2 linked regions of the Mytilus edulis genome follow. The protein of the gene in region 1 interacts with the protein of each later gene in a pairwise test. Links are inferred from orthologs where the notes say so. Each region holds a gene or a part of one and is shown on either strand. Other genes may lie near its edges. The genes, in order: E3 ubiquitin-protein ligase TRIM23-like and G patch domain and ankyrin repeat-containing protein 1-like.

What was found.
Region 2: the proteins of E3 ubiquitin-protein ligase TRIM23-like (region 1) and G patch domain and ankyrin repeat-containing protein 1-like interact in binary tests that used the Homo sapiens proteins (3 or more experiments, as listed by UniProt). The link is inferred for Mytilus edulis from reciprocal best matches to the Homo sapiens genes TRIM23 and GPANK1.

The regions. Positions count from the first base shown.
Region 1 is NC_092344.1:72,201,460-72,209,113, forward strand, and holds the start of E3 ubiquitin-protein ligase TRIM23-like, read left to right. Parts: upstream 1-4,569; 5' UTR 4,570-4,720; coding exon 4,721-4,801; intron 4,802-5,889; coding exon 5,890-6,186; intron 6,187-7,037; coding exon 7,038-7,316; intron 7,317-7,654.
Region 2 is NC_092352.1:27,816,879-27,825,160, forward strand, and holds the start of G patch domain and ankyrin repeat-containing protein 1-like, read left to right. Parts: upstream 1-5,021; 5' UTR 5,022-5,134; intron 5,135-8,282. Other genes in the region: collagen alpha-1(XIV) chain-like, read left to right, coding at 156-352.

The sequences.
Region 1 (7,654 bases):
ATCACAGTCGTTAGAATGAGACTTTACCTGTGCTATTTATTGATACACCATTTTGTTTTGACAGTGACAGCGTGCCTTGATCTTATAATTTCAGTAATTTGTTTTTTTATTTTATACATTTTTAGTTATTAGAAATGATAATCTTTAATTATAATATAAACATGATTACTATAATGATAAAAGTTATCTTGATATTTGACAGAACTGTTGTTACATGTATTAATCACCAAATCCCACCTTTATTGCGAAAAATAACATATAAACATTGAAATTTTCAAGCTTGAAAATAGCATAGGGACGATGTGGAAAAAAGTATATGATTCATTAAATTTCTTATAACTTTTCATTGAAAAGAGATTTGCAAGTTTGGTTTTTGGTAAAATCATATTTATAGGTTATAATTTGGATTTGCCTATTATTATTGTCACTTTTTAAAGTGAAAAGTGGGGAAAAATCTCTTTCTCCTTACAACTGGAACCCACAAGCACGTCTCAAATAAATTTAACTGGTCCTTTAAAATCGTCTACTCCTTTTCATGTGTGCAATATTTTATTATAATCAGGGTTAATTTTGCTAAGTAATGGTCTTCAGGTGGTATTAGCATATGAATTCGTGAAAATATGTACACTAGGTTCCACAATTACAACTACAAAAGTAGGCCCGACCATGCACAGCCATATTGAAATTTTGGTGTAAACAGGGAAGTTCACAAAAGTTTTAAACAATGTGGCTATATTTTCATGAAACCAGGGTAACTTATGTTATTATATATGAATTAATTAGGAATTGAAATTGTCAACGTTGTTTTATTGCACACCTATTGTTTTTATCAGGATTATTTATGATCTGTTAACCTTTGAAGCGTTGTTTTCTTAGCGGTCAAGTAATTAAAGTGCTGGCTTTTAGACTATATCTGGTTTATTTTCAACACTAATATATTGACTACTTATTAGTATTTTTTTGTAAACAATATCTATTTTGCCTTTAAACTATTTAATTTAATAATTATTCTTTATTTCAAAGCCACCAATTTTAAGTTTTTCTAAATATGCTGGCTTGTTTGCCGAATTCTATTGTTTACATGTACACGATCTGACAGCTGTGAATCAATAATTTACTATCGGAGCAATGAAATCTCAACGGATCAATCAGTTTCCAGTCCTGTTAGTATAATACACCTTATTGCTAGTCCCGGCTGACCCCAGAATCGGTCCCGCTCGAAACTATTGACGTCATACAACAATCCCTTTTTCATTGTGGCGTCAGATATTTTGCCTGACATCAAAATTTTACGGGAACCTGTGTGATGTCCAGTAATGGCGTACAAATAGTGATAAGGTGTATAGTCCCAGGTATAGACTGTCTGTGGTGAATTTATTAATAACCTTGATCAGTTGATAGTCAATTAGTTTATCATCTTTACATCTACATCTATCTTCAGAGTTTGCTCCAAATAAAGTTATTCTACATTTGGCTACATTTGTCTGAATAATGGTAACTGTTTTTTTACACCCTAGTCTCTATTGTCGTTGAGTAAAAATCATTAGCAGAGGAAAATTATTCAACTCAAGCAGACGATACACTGTCACATATCCAATTACTAGGAATATCACTGTCTAGAAACACTACTGTCTACTAATTTAATTAAATGTTTGTATTTTACTTCAATATTTAAACACTTAAGTAATAAAATAATCAGTAAAAATTACCTTTTAACGCCAAAAGGTGTTCTTTCTCTCTTGCCCCTTCCATCTTCTTCAGCTACTTCCGGTATAGAGAAAGCTAAGTTAGGGAAGCTGTGAAATGTATATGCGGGAGCTTCTCCATTTATCACATTCAAGTCGTTTTTTTACATACAAATAAAAGTCCTTATTTAAATGACAAACAGCACAACTAGATTGGTTTGTAAAGATATTTTCAAAATGATCGAAAAAAAATAATAGTACCCGGAAAATGCAGCATTTAATTTAGTTTCTATCTTGGGACAAATGGTTGGGGAATAAAAACAAGAGACCACAGACTGTAATAATTGGAAATGAACAACCAGGAAACAACAGACAGGGTATGTTTTAAGCATCAAAGATTCATTGACCTTCATTTGTTCATAATTCAGATATCAATATCAGCAGATCCAGTTGATTATTTGAATGCATAGATTTTAGACTGACCAAAATGAGGACAATAAAAGTTTGTTATTGTTTCACATACATGTACTTTCCATCCCAAATATTAAGATTAAGGCACTATATAAGATTAGACACTGGTAAAATCTTAACAAGGAAAAAGTTCTGACTGCTGGTATAATTCAGCAATGCTTTTGGTTATAAGATATACCATGTACAAATAAAATTTACGGGAAATCTCTTCTTCAGACAGTGTCAGGTACATGTATCTGTACCGATTATATGGATCTGCATAGCTGCAATTTGCAATATGAAGCTTTTTGTCAATTGAGCGAAGCCAAAAAGTTCAAAAGGAAAATATATTGTGTCGAGCAACTGGGGTTTTACAATATTTCTAAATACATGATAAAAAAAATCTGATTATCGATTTCTCTGATTGTGTTTGTCAATTTTAAATGATAGAAACACGTTTTTCTTTGTTTCACCAACAAGCAGGAGAATGACGTTGTGAGTTGGGGGTCTAACTTATCAATTTTTGTATATTCCAGGGCTTGCAAAAAATATATAAATTTGATATTCTGACATGAACTGTTCCATGGACAGTGCATCATTCGAAGTGTGCCACATACATTGACATACAATGTAGGTGTATTGATATCTGCCTTAGATTAATTATTTGTAGAAAATTACGCTGTCAACAATTTTGCTTTCTATTTAAAAAAAAAAACAGTTTTCTAATACATGTACATTACCTACGTGATGTTTTGACAATGATAAAATATGGACCAGAGACAGATACAATGTATGTAAAATCAGTATACATTAACAAAGCACAATTGACACATGATTGAGTTGAAGAAGCTCTTTTGACATTATTTCTTCAGGAAAACACTCGAAATTAATGTTTTACTAGTTCAAACAGCGCAGTTCTAACATTTTTTGCTTACAACCCTTATTTACACTACCTTTTTAAATTTTCATCAAATTATGTTCATGTACGTACATTTTATATTTAAGATTAATCTATTTTTTTTGTATTTTACTTAATTGATTAAATGTAAATTGATGAAATTTAAAAGAATAGATTGTAAATAAATTGACCTTTCAACATCCAGTACGAAATAGTTTACCTATTGCTTGTAAGTTATGATCTAATTGTTTTAAATACGCTTTTCAGATAGTCTTATCTGTTTTGCCATTATTTAAGTTGTTAGATTTGAACAAGGAGTATTTTCAGTTTTATTAAAAAAATAACTTGTGACTTTATTTATAATGAAACATATATGAATGTGTAGGGATTAGCCCTTTAACATGAGTCAATATACATGTATGTATAGGGTTGTTTTCCAAACCCCAGCCTGCATCTGTACCATTGTACTGATATATATATGTTGAGATACAAGTCTTGTGGGCAACAGAGGCAAAGAAGTCACATCCATTCCCATTGGCGGATCCAGGGGGTTCCGGGGTTGGAACCCCCCTTTTTTTGGCAGATCAATTCATTTGAATGGAAACATATAGTTGGAACCCCCCCCCCCCCCTTTTGTCCTGTGTTGGGAACCCCCCTTTTTAAAATGGCTGAATCCGCCCCTGATTCCCATCTGTCTTATTGCTTTACCTGACTGCAAAAAGATATATCTAGGCCCCCAGGTGTTTAAACAGTCACTTGCTAAAATTCTTTAATTTTCCAATTTGATCAAAGAAATTCAAAGACATGAACAATTTCTTTTTAAAGAAGTAAAGTGTGTGCATTGAAAATGGAGACTCAGGTCATAGATTTTGTCAAAGAAACTTCAGACAAATCAAAGTATTTTCTTCTGTTTATTAAAATACTCTGAGTGTTTTGGAAATAATTGTAACTTCAATAAGACTTGATTAAAATTGCATTTAACATGTTTAAGAAAAATAAAAAGTTTAATGTCAATATTTTTAAACAGCATGCACATGATATCAGTATTTTTTTTTAAGTTCCTCTTAAATTTGACAATAAAACACAATGCAAAAGCATTCAAATGAAAAAGGTGTGTAACCTTTTCAATATCTTATTGAAGTAAACTATCTTATACCTGAAATATATTTTCTTGAAATGAATTTTAAATGTAGCAGATGTAAGTTTAACCCTTAAAGTTTTAAAAAGTAAAGACTTAAACAGAAGTACAAAACATTGCAATTGGTGAAATAAAACCATTTTAATTTAGAATTATACATTAACGTATACATGTATTCAGATTATGAAATCTTTAGTGGAATTCTGTCTGATCCATGCAACTGCCAAAAGCATAGAAGACCTTATCACACTACTTGACTATCTACATGTATGTAACATTTCCTAGAAAGCCTAAGGTTTATTTGCACTTTGAGTCTCAAATGTGCATCTAAAATGTATTGATATTTAGACATCATGTGGTGAAACATACATGTACATGTATTTTTTTCTGGTTATATCAATATTTAACAGAAACATCTGTTATGTTGTATAATTGGAGAAAAACAACGATAAGATGCATTCTCTGCGGCTACCATTGTGAATATAAATTTACACTCTAAAATTATAGGACAAATATTACTGCAATACCGAAACTAATCCAAGAACAATAATGTTGAAAAATATTCAACAAGTTACCCAAGAACACAATTCTGCACATCGCATGAGTTATTTAGGAGGATTGTTTGGACATGTATGCTACTAACTTTTACTTATTACAGATTTTACATATTTATGAAGTGATAATTATTTCATCCAACCAAGAACATACTTGGTCTAGAGATTGAATGTTAGGTATTCATACATGTTATTTGTCTGGCTGTCAGGGTTTACATCATAAATATTGAAATACATGAAAACAGTTGATGCACCATTCCAACAAGATTTGCGAAAATCTCAATTTTATAATGATGGATCTAACCAAAATGTTCATGTTAAGAAATTACTGGAAAGGGACTGTTTAGTCTGCAGCTATATAAAAATAATGAGGTGTGGTATGACTGCAAATGAGACAACTATCCAACGAAGTATAAACGAAGTAGATGTACATTACTGTAAGCAATTATCAGTATGATTTTAATTAACTTAAAACAAAATCAATAGTTATACAAATAAAAGACAATATTCTTAGATCTATTTAAAGTGTTTAATTGGTAACCTTCTAGAATAATTATTGAAAAGAAGGTGTGGTATGATTGGCATAAGTTTATTTAAGGGGATTGATATGTTTACTCTGATCATATATAAATTTATGGGCTCGATAAACACCATTCATGTAAAAATTAGGATGTGCTATTCTGTTTGAAATAAGTTTTCTACAGGTACAAACAAACTTGAGGGGGGATAGGATGGGTCCTGATCCTGAAATCTCGGGCTTAAAAACACGAAATCTCGAATTTAAATTAAGCAAATCCTGACGTCCCGTAATCCGAAAAAAAGAATTCCCAGATCCCGAAAGGGTCAATCCTGAAATCCCGAGCTTAAAAACACCAGGAGTCGATTTCACAAAAAAACTTACGATTAAGATTTATCGTAAGTATACTGATTTGTTCATGACTTAAGATCAATCTTAGTCGTAAGTTTTTTTGTGAAATCGACTCCTGATCCCGGAGTCCCGATAAAGGTCCTATCCCTCCTCAAACTTGCAAACCAAACCAATCAGCCAACTTACCACTGTATAGATTTGATCTTCGAAATATTAATTTGAATCATACTTTGTAGGTTTGATAGTATACATTTTGATATAGTTTTAATGTTGCATGCATATGGTTTTATTTTCAGACAATACTTGAATGTCGAGTTTGTGATGATGTGTTCCGTTTCCAAGGAGACAAGGTTCCACGGTTGTTGATGTGTGGCCATACTGTTTGTCATCAGTGTCTGACCAGATTACAAGTTCATGGTACTTCTATCCTGTGTCCATTTGACAGACAGCCCACAGAAATTGGTGATTCTGGAGTATGGGGATTGAAGAAAAATTTTGCATTGCTTGAACTACTAGAGAAATTACAGTTTACAACTCAAAATGCATCAAATATTAATCTATTTGCACAACAAAATTTAGATAAGGAAAAGGAGGTAGTATACAAAACTGATGTGTTTGAGTTTATAATGATAATTATGCAGAAAAATCAAGCATACTTCTATACAACTAACATTTATAAGTAAAATGATTCATTGATGCTAAGTAAATAGGATGTAATTAATATATTGTTCATTAAATTTATCATATTTTAAAAAAAAATCTTAGGAGATAGTTATATTAATAATAATAGAAATACATATAAATATTTTGCAAGAACACATGCTTTTGCTTTTAATCATTTATACCTGTTTAATGGATTCTGTATTCTTTTAAGGTTTTTCAATACATTCATTGATAGCTCAACTTGTGAATAATATTTCTGAATTATCTCCCTTTGTACATGTACATAAAAATAATATTTATGCTTTTATTGATATAGTTTAATTAAAAAGATGCTTGTATGAAAAAAGCACCAGTTAATTTTTTGATGCAAAACAAAACATAAAAAAAACAAAAGTAGATTTTAAGTATTTATTTAAGAATTGAATGCTTCTTTTTGTAAATTTATTGGGGTGTAAAAGCGTTGACCAAAGTACATTTTGTACATAAAAATGTATGCACGGTCAACGCTTTTACAACCCTATAAAGTTACAAAAAGAAGCATTTAATACTTATAATTACATTTTTTAGCTATGATCATGAAAACACGAATTTAATAAATTTTATTATTTAATTCACCTGTGCACTTTATTGTTGGAGCACGTGTTATCATGAGTGAAAAGTTGTATTGAGCAATGCAACTGCTTACGGAATAACACGTGATGTGCAGTTAGCCAATCAGAATAAAATATTATAATGAAACATACATCTAATGTAATTATATTAAAATGATTTCTTATTACAGTTGGATATTCCATGTGACGAGAATGAACTTCACACAGCTGTGTTATATTGTATGACTTGTAGTACACACTTATGTGTAGAGTGTGCAGAACTGACACATTCCACAAGAACATTAGCAAGACACAAAAGAGTTCCATTATCTGAAAAACCAAAAGAGAATCCAAAATGTCCTTATCATCCCATGCATCTAGTAGAATTTGCTTGTTTAGAAGAAGATTGCAAAAATAATCCTTTGATGTGTTATATATGTAAAGATTATGGTAGACATGTTAAACATAGGGTAATAAAACTTATACTGTATTTTAAATATTAAGCAAAATAACCATAAAATGTCTTTTATAATAATAATTTATTGTTAAATGTAAAACCAGGCTGAACTGTGAGGCTCACCAAACACTCATCAAGAGAGGAGAGGGAATTCTAGTTGATATTTGTTATGCATCAGATCTTGAAGTCCTTTCTTCTTTGTACTAACCGTAAAAAAAAAAAGGAAAAGCCTTTTTTGTTCTTTATTTGAGCAGTTATTAGACATAATATTTTTTCATCTTATCGGGAAAATCAATTTTGTTTTTACTTATATTCAAACAAAATGCATTGTTAATTGACTGTAACATATTT
Region 2 (8,282 bases), on another chromosome or scaffold:
CAAATGGAGATTAAAAGTTGGAATGATAAAGGATGATATGTTAATGATAAAATAATTAAAATATAAACATGATATACATTTTAGAATAAAATATTAATATATCTGATTGATATTCTCACGACTCTTTTTTTTTCTTCCACTTTAAACCAAACAAGGATATCGCAAAAAAATGGAAAAAATTGTTATCTTAGTCACAGACGGGAAATCCACAAATGAACAGGAAACACACTCTGAGGTGGAATTATTGGAATCTGAGGGTATCAAACTGTTTACCAAGGGCATAAGTGATGACATCGACGAAGAAGCACTAAGGGCCATTGGTGATGAAGTACCAGAAATAGACTGCTTCTAATACAACATCTAGTTATTTTATCGGTACATGTTATACATGTGTTTATAATTAAAATATTTTTGAATGGAGTTAAACAAACAAACAGAATCGTTTCGCTATTGTCAGCTAAATGAATTGAGACACAAAAGCAAATAAACTCAAATGAGAAGTTCATCTCTCCGAAAATATCTTGATAATAACTAGGTTCATCCAGTGTAAAACTCATTCTGATCGTAGTTTCAAGTTGTCATTGTAATTATTTTGTTCATATCAGAACAAACAAATAGCACAAGCCATATTATCCAATTGGAAATTGCTCCCAATACAATGTAGTTGCGCTGCACTTTTTATTTAATCAAATTACTCAATTTCTCGGAGTGCTAAAGGAACAATATAAGATACGTTCAGATCAGATAACGAATCATATTCCTTTTTAAATCTAAGAATAGAACTTCAGTCATGATTCCGGACTCGATTCTGTTATGAATAATTGTTTGTCATGGTGGTTTGTTAAGCAGTCTTCTATGAGTTGGGTAAGTGCAGTGACACACGAATGCTACTACATCTGGAATAGATCACCATTGTGGTATTTGGTAAAACCTTCCAGAACTTTATGTCCTGAAAGCATTGTATTTTATTTGGCCTTTTGGTGGTTTTATTTATGCAAGCGTCACTGGCGAGTCTTTGTGGGCACGCGTCTGGCGTATAAAATTTAGGCATTGTATCTATAATGATTTTATGCATATGTCTGAATCCTGACTGTCAAAACCAGTTTACTATTTAAACAATCATAAAATTGCACTGATATGTGTCTTTCCATTAATTTTGATATGCGATTTAGAACTACAATAGGATTTATATCAGGATTCGATTTACTTCTTTCTTTCAAAATTGGACATACTATCTATAATTATAGCAATTAAAAAAGGCAAGGATATCATCCAGATCTTAAACTAGGTTATTTTTTTTGTCAAAGAAGGAGCAATTACATTATACCACATGCTTACAATTTGGCATCTATATGTATACTATACTGGTAGTCGTTGCGTTGGTTTTTATCAAGTTTTTTCAAAGATAACTTATATAGTCAATGATATTCATTACTAAAACAAAAATAGTATCATTGCTGTCGCATAAACTTGTCGGGTATTGTATACACGGCATACATGTATATGCTGAGATTAGGTATGATTGACAATAGAACAACTTTGCACCAGAGTTCAAATAAAATTGAGTGGTATAGATCAATTATATGCCACCACACGGCCTTCAACAATCAGAAGATCGTAAACCAATCTATACTGTATAGCCGGCCGTAAAACAGGGAATTTTATTCCTTGAGTGTTACTGGTGAATCTTTTGTAGACAAAATGGGCATCTGACGTACAAAAGATTAAGCCTGGTATTTATGTCCGTCCTGAACATACATGAAATATTTGACACTGAACGTTAATGAAACAACAATCAATCTATCAATATGATGACTTTGTTTAAGTGAAAAAATTGTCGACAATTTTACATTAAACTTGAAAGATGTTTTTAGTAACAGACCTGGAAGTTCAAATTTCGTTTTTGCATGTTTCTTTCCACGCTGAATGTCTTCACGTGTGGCGTTTGATTAAGAACCTCATCAAAACGAACAACCCCAGTCATTGGATTTTTTTTTTTATACTGTGTGATCTTGTTGATATTAACTGACTATCAAGAAAATTTTTGTAAAATATATACAGATGATCCACCATAAATAGCGTCCCGAATCGAAAACGTTGAAAACGTATGAAAATCGTCCAGTGGACAAACTTGCTAGACATTTCAATTCTTTGAAAACGAAGTCGTTTTGACAACGCAAATTAATATCAAAAAGTATTTAGCTGTTTAGTAGAGTTAAAGTACAATTACGAAAAAGCACTATTCAACATGCAAAAAATCTAAATTTTCAATAAATAACGTCACAAATGATAGTTTATTAGTAAAAAGCGGCAAAATCTGAGATTGGACATCTTGCAAGACATTTGTATATGTGGTGGTGTTTAACGACCTTGACTGGCTATACAGCCCTCGCACGGTCGGCTCGGTGCCCGAAGGCGTTTGGTGAGCTTTATCATATTTTGATGCCATGGGTCAGGAACAAGTAGTGGAGGTCGCAATATGGAGGCCGCCATCTTGGTTTTGGTGAGTTGTTTTTGGTTTTTGACTATTTTGGATTTTACTTCTTCACAACGGCTGCTTTCAGGGCCAGTTTGGTCAGCTTGGCAGCCCGCTAACCTCGATGAGTGAGTACTGGTAGATGAATGGTGGACGTAGTTCTAAAGATGACAGGAAGCGTTATCAGAACCAAAGCCGTGAGGCAGTGAAATGAAGGTCGTATCACCCAACAGCCTAGGATACAGCCCTCGGACGTTAATCGGCATAACACTCCCCATGATACAATGGATTTGAAGTGCATGTTAACGCGGGTACGCCAACTACTACGTCTATCTGTACGGCATGGATTGGTTTCTGTCATCTTAAGTAGTATGTCGTTGTTCATCTAACTGTAAACCCTCATCGAAGATAGCGGGTAAAGGAGAGCTGGCCCAGCACGTCCGTTCAGCTGTAATGACTGAGACGTGGGATTTGCTTGAAGCCGTTGCATTTTTATATGTGGTGTGAGTGCTTCAAAAACTTGATTTTGACATGGTCTATCTATGAACTTTTGTGAGCATAATTTGCACAAACGGAAATGTCATATAATCTTATATTTTAAAACCTATAAATTTTGATAAAAAAAGTAAAATCACAAAAATACTGAACTCAGAGGAAAATCAATTCGGAAAGTCCATAATCACATGGCAAAATCAAATAACAAAACGCATCAAAGTGAACGGACAAGAACTGTCATATTCCTGACTTGGTACAGAAAACTTAACATTTTCCTAAATCTGACCATAATGAACACTATTTGTTTTTGCCAAAAGATAGCATTGGTCGCATCTTCACTAGCCAAGGGTTACGATCCACCCGCGCTCTCTTCACCCTTGGCGGATTGAGATAACATTTCGGAGACACAGGGTAAGGATTTTTATTGGTTGCAGTCGAAACTCGCTGCATCCAATCAAAAAGCGCCTTGAACATGATCGCGTGAAAATGTAGAAAGTGTTTGTAAACAATTGCCACGTGTTTATTGTGCAACAAGTCTTTACATCCGTAAACATACGACTATATTTAGTGACAACTTGAATGTTTTTAATCAACTAATAGAAGTTCCTGTGTATGTTTCATGCACAATGAATGTTGACGTAAATTTTCGTTTCCGGCTTTAGAACCAAGTGTGTAGAATTTATACAACTACCGTGTTTTTACCTCCAAATTGAAGAGTTCAAGTGCTACCATTGGTCAAGAATAATGTATTCGGATTGGGCGTGACTTAAATATTCCGACAGATGGCGCAACATTGTTTTCACAAATGTTGGCTCAATCCGCCAAAGGTGAAGAGAGCGAGAGTGGATCGTAACCCTTGGCTAGTGAAGAGAGCGAGAGTGGATCGTAACCCTTGGCTAGCGAAGATGCATTGGTCGTTACAGGAACGCATATTCAGTAATATTGTAATACTTTAAAAATTAAGCATATCATGCATTCGAATTTTCGCGGATATAGCACTGTTTTGAAGAACAAAAACACCCCTGCTAAAGTTATTATGCGTGTACTATGATATCAACGGTTACGTTTGACACACACATTTTTGACGTTTTGTCAACATATTGTCCTTATTTTAGACTATTGTAAATTATGATAAAACAGTTTGTAGTTTTTTCGGAATAGTATTTACCTGTCAAGTCTATGGATATAAATTTTATATAACTTAACTATTATGATTTTATAGAAAAGCTGTTTATAAGGCCGTGGACTGGTTGATCAGAGGCGGATTTAGAGGGGAGCCCAGGGGGCCCGCCCCCCCCCTTTTTGGGAAAAAAATTGGTTGCTTATATAGGGAATCACTGAAGCGTGACTCGAGCGGGCCCCCTCTTAGGTCAGTCAATGGGCCCCCACTTATGAAAATTTCTGGATCCGCCACTGTTGATTACACGGTACAACTTCCGAAGCAAGGTTGTCGGCTCTCCGAACTTTCCCGAAGTCCTGCGTTTATGAGCTTCGGTCCTTGCTGGCTTGGAAGTTGTACACGGTATTGACGCAATAACGTGCGTAACGTCACAACATGTAAATGAAAAAATAAAATATAGTAAACTTGAAAGATGTAAAAATAAAAAAGCCTTTTATTTTTACATCTTTCTTTATTGTTATATATCAGTATGTATGGTCGGATTATGTTTCTGTGTGTAAGAGAGAGTTGTTCCCCGTTTGCCAGTATTTTGTATTTATGTTTGTGACGTCATCTTTGTCTGATTAAAATGTAGAAATGGAAGCTGATGTGTTTTTATGTGTCCGTATGTAATCGCCTCCATCCATGCTACCAGAGCTATTCCCCTAGTCTGTAATATTATATATACAGGCATCTTAACAAGCTTATTTATATAACAGGCATCTTAACAAAATGTGTACAAACTTGTAAAATACGTCGGATGGTGTTTTTTTTAAGTTACGAAATACTACTTACAGGAACTTTCTATACTGTAGTTAAGGATAGAAAGAAAGTCCCTGTCATGCATAAGATCTACAAAAGTCTGAGAAAAGTAAGGTTCGGATTTTCGAGCTCACTTCACGTCCGTTGTTGATCCCGAAATTACATTAGACACTTCCGGTGTAAATAAAAGTCGTTTTGATAACGTTTGGAAAACCAATTTAAAGATTAACAGCAGCATACATGTAAGATTTCCATTTGTTATGATATATATCAGTCATAGGGGTTAATGAAATGTTTTGTATACATGAATGAGACAATATCTCAACGTAAACTATGGTTCTGCCTTAGTTAACATAACAGCATAACACAAAACAGGTGAGTTGGTCAGCTGGAGTCGATTTCACAAAAAAAACTTACGGCTAAGATTGGTCGTAAGTATACTGAATTGGCCATGACTTACTACCAATATTAGTCGAAATTTTTTTTTGCGAAATTGACTCCTGGTCTGGCTTCACTCAGTCACGAATCCGGGTCCGTTCGCCCTGATTCATGTTCGCCCAAGTACCTGTTCGCCCTGATACCTGTTCGCCCAGGGTCCATTTGCCCTGATTATTATTTTTTTCTAATTGTTGTCTAGTCGCATTATTTTAAGTGTTTGAACAAATTATGTTAAAGTTTGTTGAAAAATTGACAGAATATTTATATTGCCGCAATCAATTTATCATTTTCCCTTTGATTTGCAGAGTAGAATACTGGAATACAATGTATTTATCTTTATTGATATTTGTTAACAAAATAATTGTAATCAGTGAGTCAATCACGAAAGTATGCAGTATAAATAAATGAACTTGTAAATCCGTTTCATAATTTACAGTTCGTACATCATTAGTTTTATTAATTTCAAGCTGAATATTTTATCAAAATAAAACGTTTGTTTTTATTATAAATCCATCAAAAGACAAGTTTCACAATAATCAGTTATCCGAATTATTTTGTGATTGAACAATTAATGATCAAAAACAAGCCATAAACTTTTAAATATTTCAATGTTTCCATAAATTTCAAGAATATACATGATTTATATACCATAGAAATATCTGAATTAGTTTATTCAACGTCAATGCCCTGAATATTAATATTTTTATAGTAGGGCGAACGGACTCTGGGCGAACGAACTCAGAGCGAACGGACCTAGGGCGAACATGTTATTAGGGCGAACGGTCCCGATACCCTCAGTCACCTCAGGTGGTCCTAGTATAATTGTGCTAAATAAAATTGAGAATGGAAATGGGGAATGTGCACAAGAAACTAAAAGTTAAATAATACAAGACTAACAAAGGCCAGAGGCTCCTGACTCAATCTAATTAAAAACCGATCTCTCATCGCTCCTGTTTCTGATATGTCGCGTGGGAGATCTAACGAAACCGGCTTTGAGGTCACATGTGAGTGAACTAAAAGTTATGAATTTATAAAGATATGCAAATGAGTTGACGACCTATTAATAAGCCAATCAAAAAAGTTTATGAATTATTTTGACTGACGATTTCGTCGTAAATAAAATGAGTTACATCCCTTTGCCTTACGTTAAACTTCCAAGATCGTGGAAGACTCAATTTCATTGGTTGAAAAAGACACACCTACGAGGTCACTCACATGTGACCTCAAAGCGGGTTTCTTTAGATCTCCCACGCGACATATCAGTAACAGGAGCGATGAGAGATCGGTTTTTAATTAGATTGCTCCTGACTTGGGACAGGCGCAAAAATGCAGCGGGGTTAAACATGTTTGTGAGATCTCAACCCTCCCCCATATGTACCTCTAGCCAATGCAGAAAAGTAAACGCATAACAATACATTGTACGCACATTAAAATTCAATTCAAGAGAAGTCCGAGTCTGATGTGAGAAAGATGTAACCAAAGAAAATAAACAAAATGACAATAATACATAAATAACATCAGACTACTAGAGTTAACTGACATGCCAGCTCCAGACTTCAATTAAACTGATTGAAAATTATGTCTTCATCATATGAATATCAGACACAATCCTCCCCGTGAGGGGTTTAGTATCATACCATCAATACATATATGAGAAGAACATAACCCATGTCATGCCAACAACAGGTTTATTATGATAAATGTGTTTAGTTCCGATGCAAAGACCCTATTTATAAGTGAATCAATATTAACGCCAAAATATGCAATCTTTAATGACCTGACAACAGTATCGTAACTACATGTATATCCCTTCTTAATAAGTCTATTTAAGGTTTTGTTAGCTTCTGAGGTGAATACTGACATTTTTGTGCTTTATAATGAATATCATGAATATTTCCATAAAATATTGGATGTGAAATACCTGAACGTATAAGAAGTCTGCATGTTGAGCTATATTTACGAATGATGTCCTTATATCGATGATAAAATTTAGTAAATGTTTTGACTACATTGTGTATATGTAGTTTGTGATATCGAAAACCCTGGTGTAATAATTTTTCAGAAATACATAAATTTCTCTCGTTAAAATCTAAAACATTGTCATGATTGTTACATACATGAACACGAGCGAATCGTACAAGTTGAGATATATAAACACCGTAAGATGGTGACAAGGGAACGTCACCATCTAAAAATGGATAATTAATGATAGGAAATGAGAAATCATCTCTTTTATCATAAATTTTAGTATTAAGCTTTCTGTTAATGATATACATGTATATATCAAGATAGAGGAAAGGAAAGGTATACATCAATGAACTGCAAACCAGTAAAGACTTACAATGTAGGTCAAACTGTGGCCTACAACACAGAGCCTAGGCCCAAGGTGAACAGCAATTTATAAAGAGCCCCAAAAATGACATGGGTAAAACCTTCAAGGTTTATGACCCCTTCTGTAGCCATTTTTGTACAGAATTTTCAAACTTCAATTGTATCAAAACTACAGATATAATGAATAATAGAGATACATGTAGGCCATTTTGTACATATACCGAGAGGAAACTTGATGCAAACCACTATTATTTATTGTTTCATTGCATTTAATAGAAAAAGAGTACTATGTGACAAATAAACTAAGATTTTTATAGAAAATCCACAGACTTTATTACAGAGATGTTTGTTATATATTTGAAACATAGATTACTCACTTGCTTTTCTATGATGTGCTAGTTTTTATTTTTTACAAAAAATTCTAAGCAACCTGTAAATTCCAAAATACCTTGTGCTGATTCACTAAAGTCAAGCACACCCTATGTCTTATTCCACAACACATTCCAGGGTAACAACATATCCCTTTTAATTCATTTTCTTGTTTTTATATGTTTGCAAACTTTCACACAAGCGTATAAGGTCTTATTATCATTTGTAGAAAATGATTTTGAAATAAAAGGC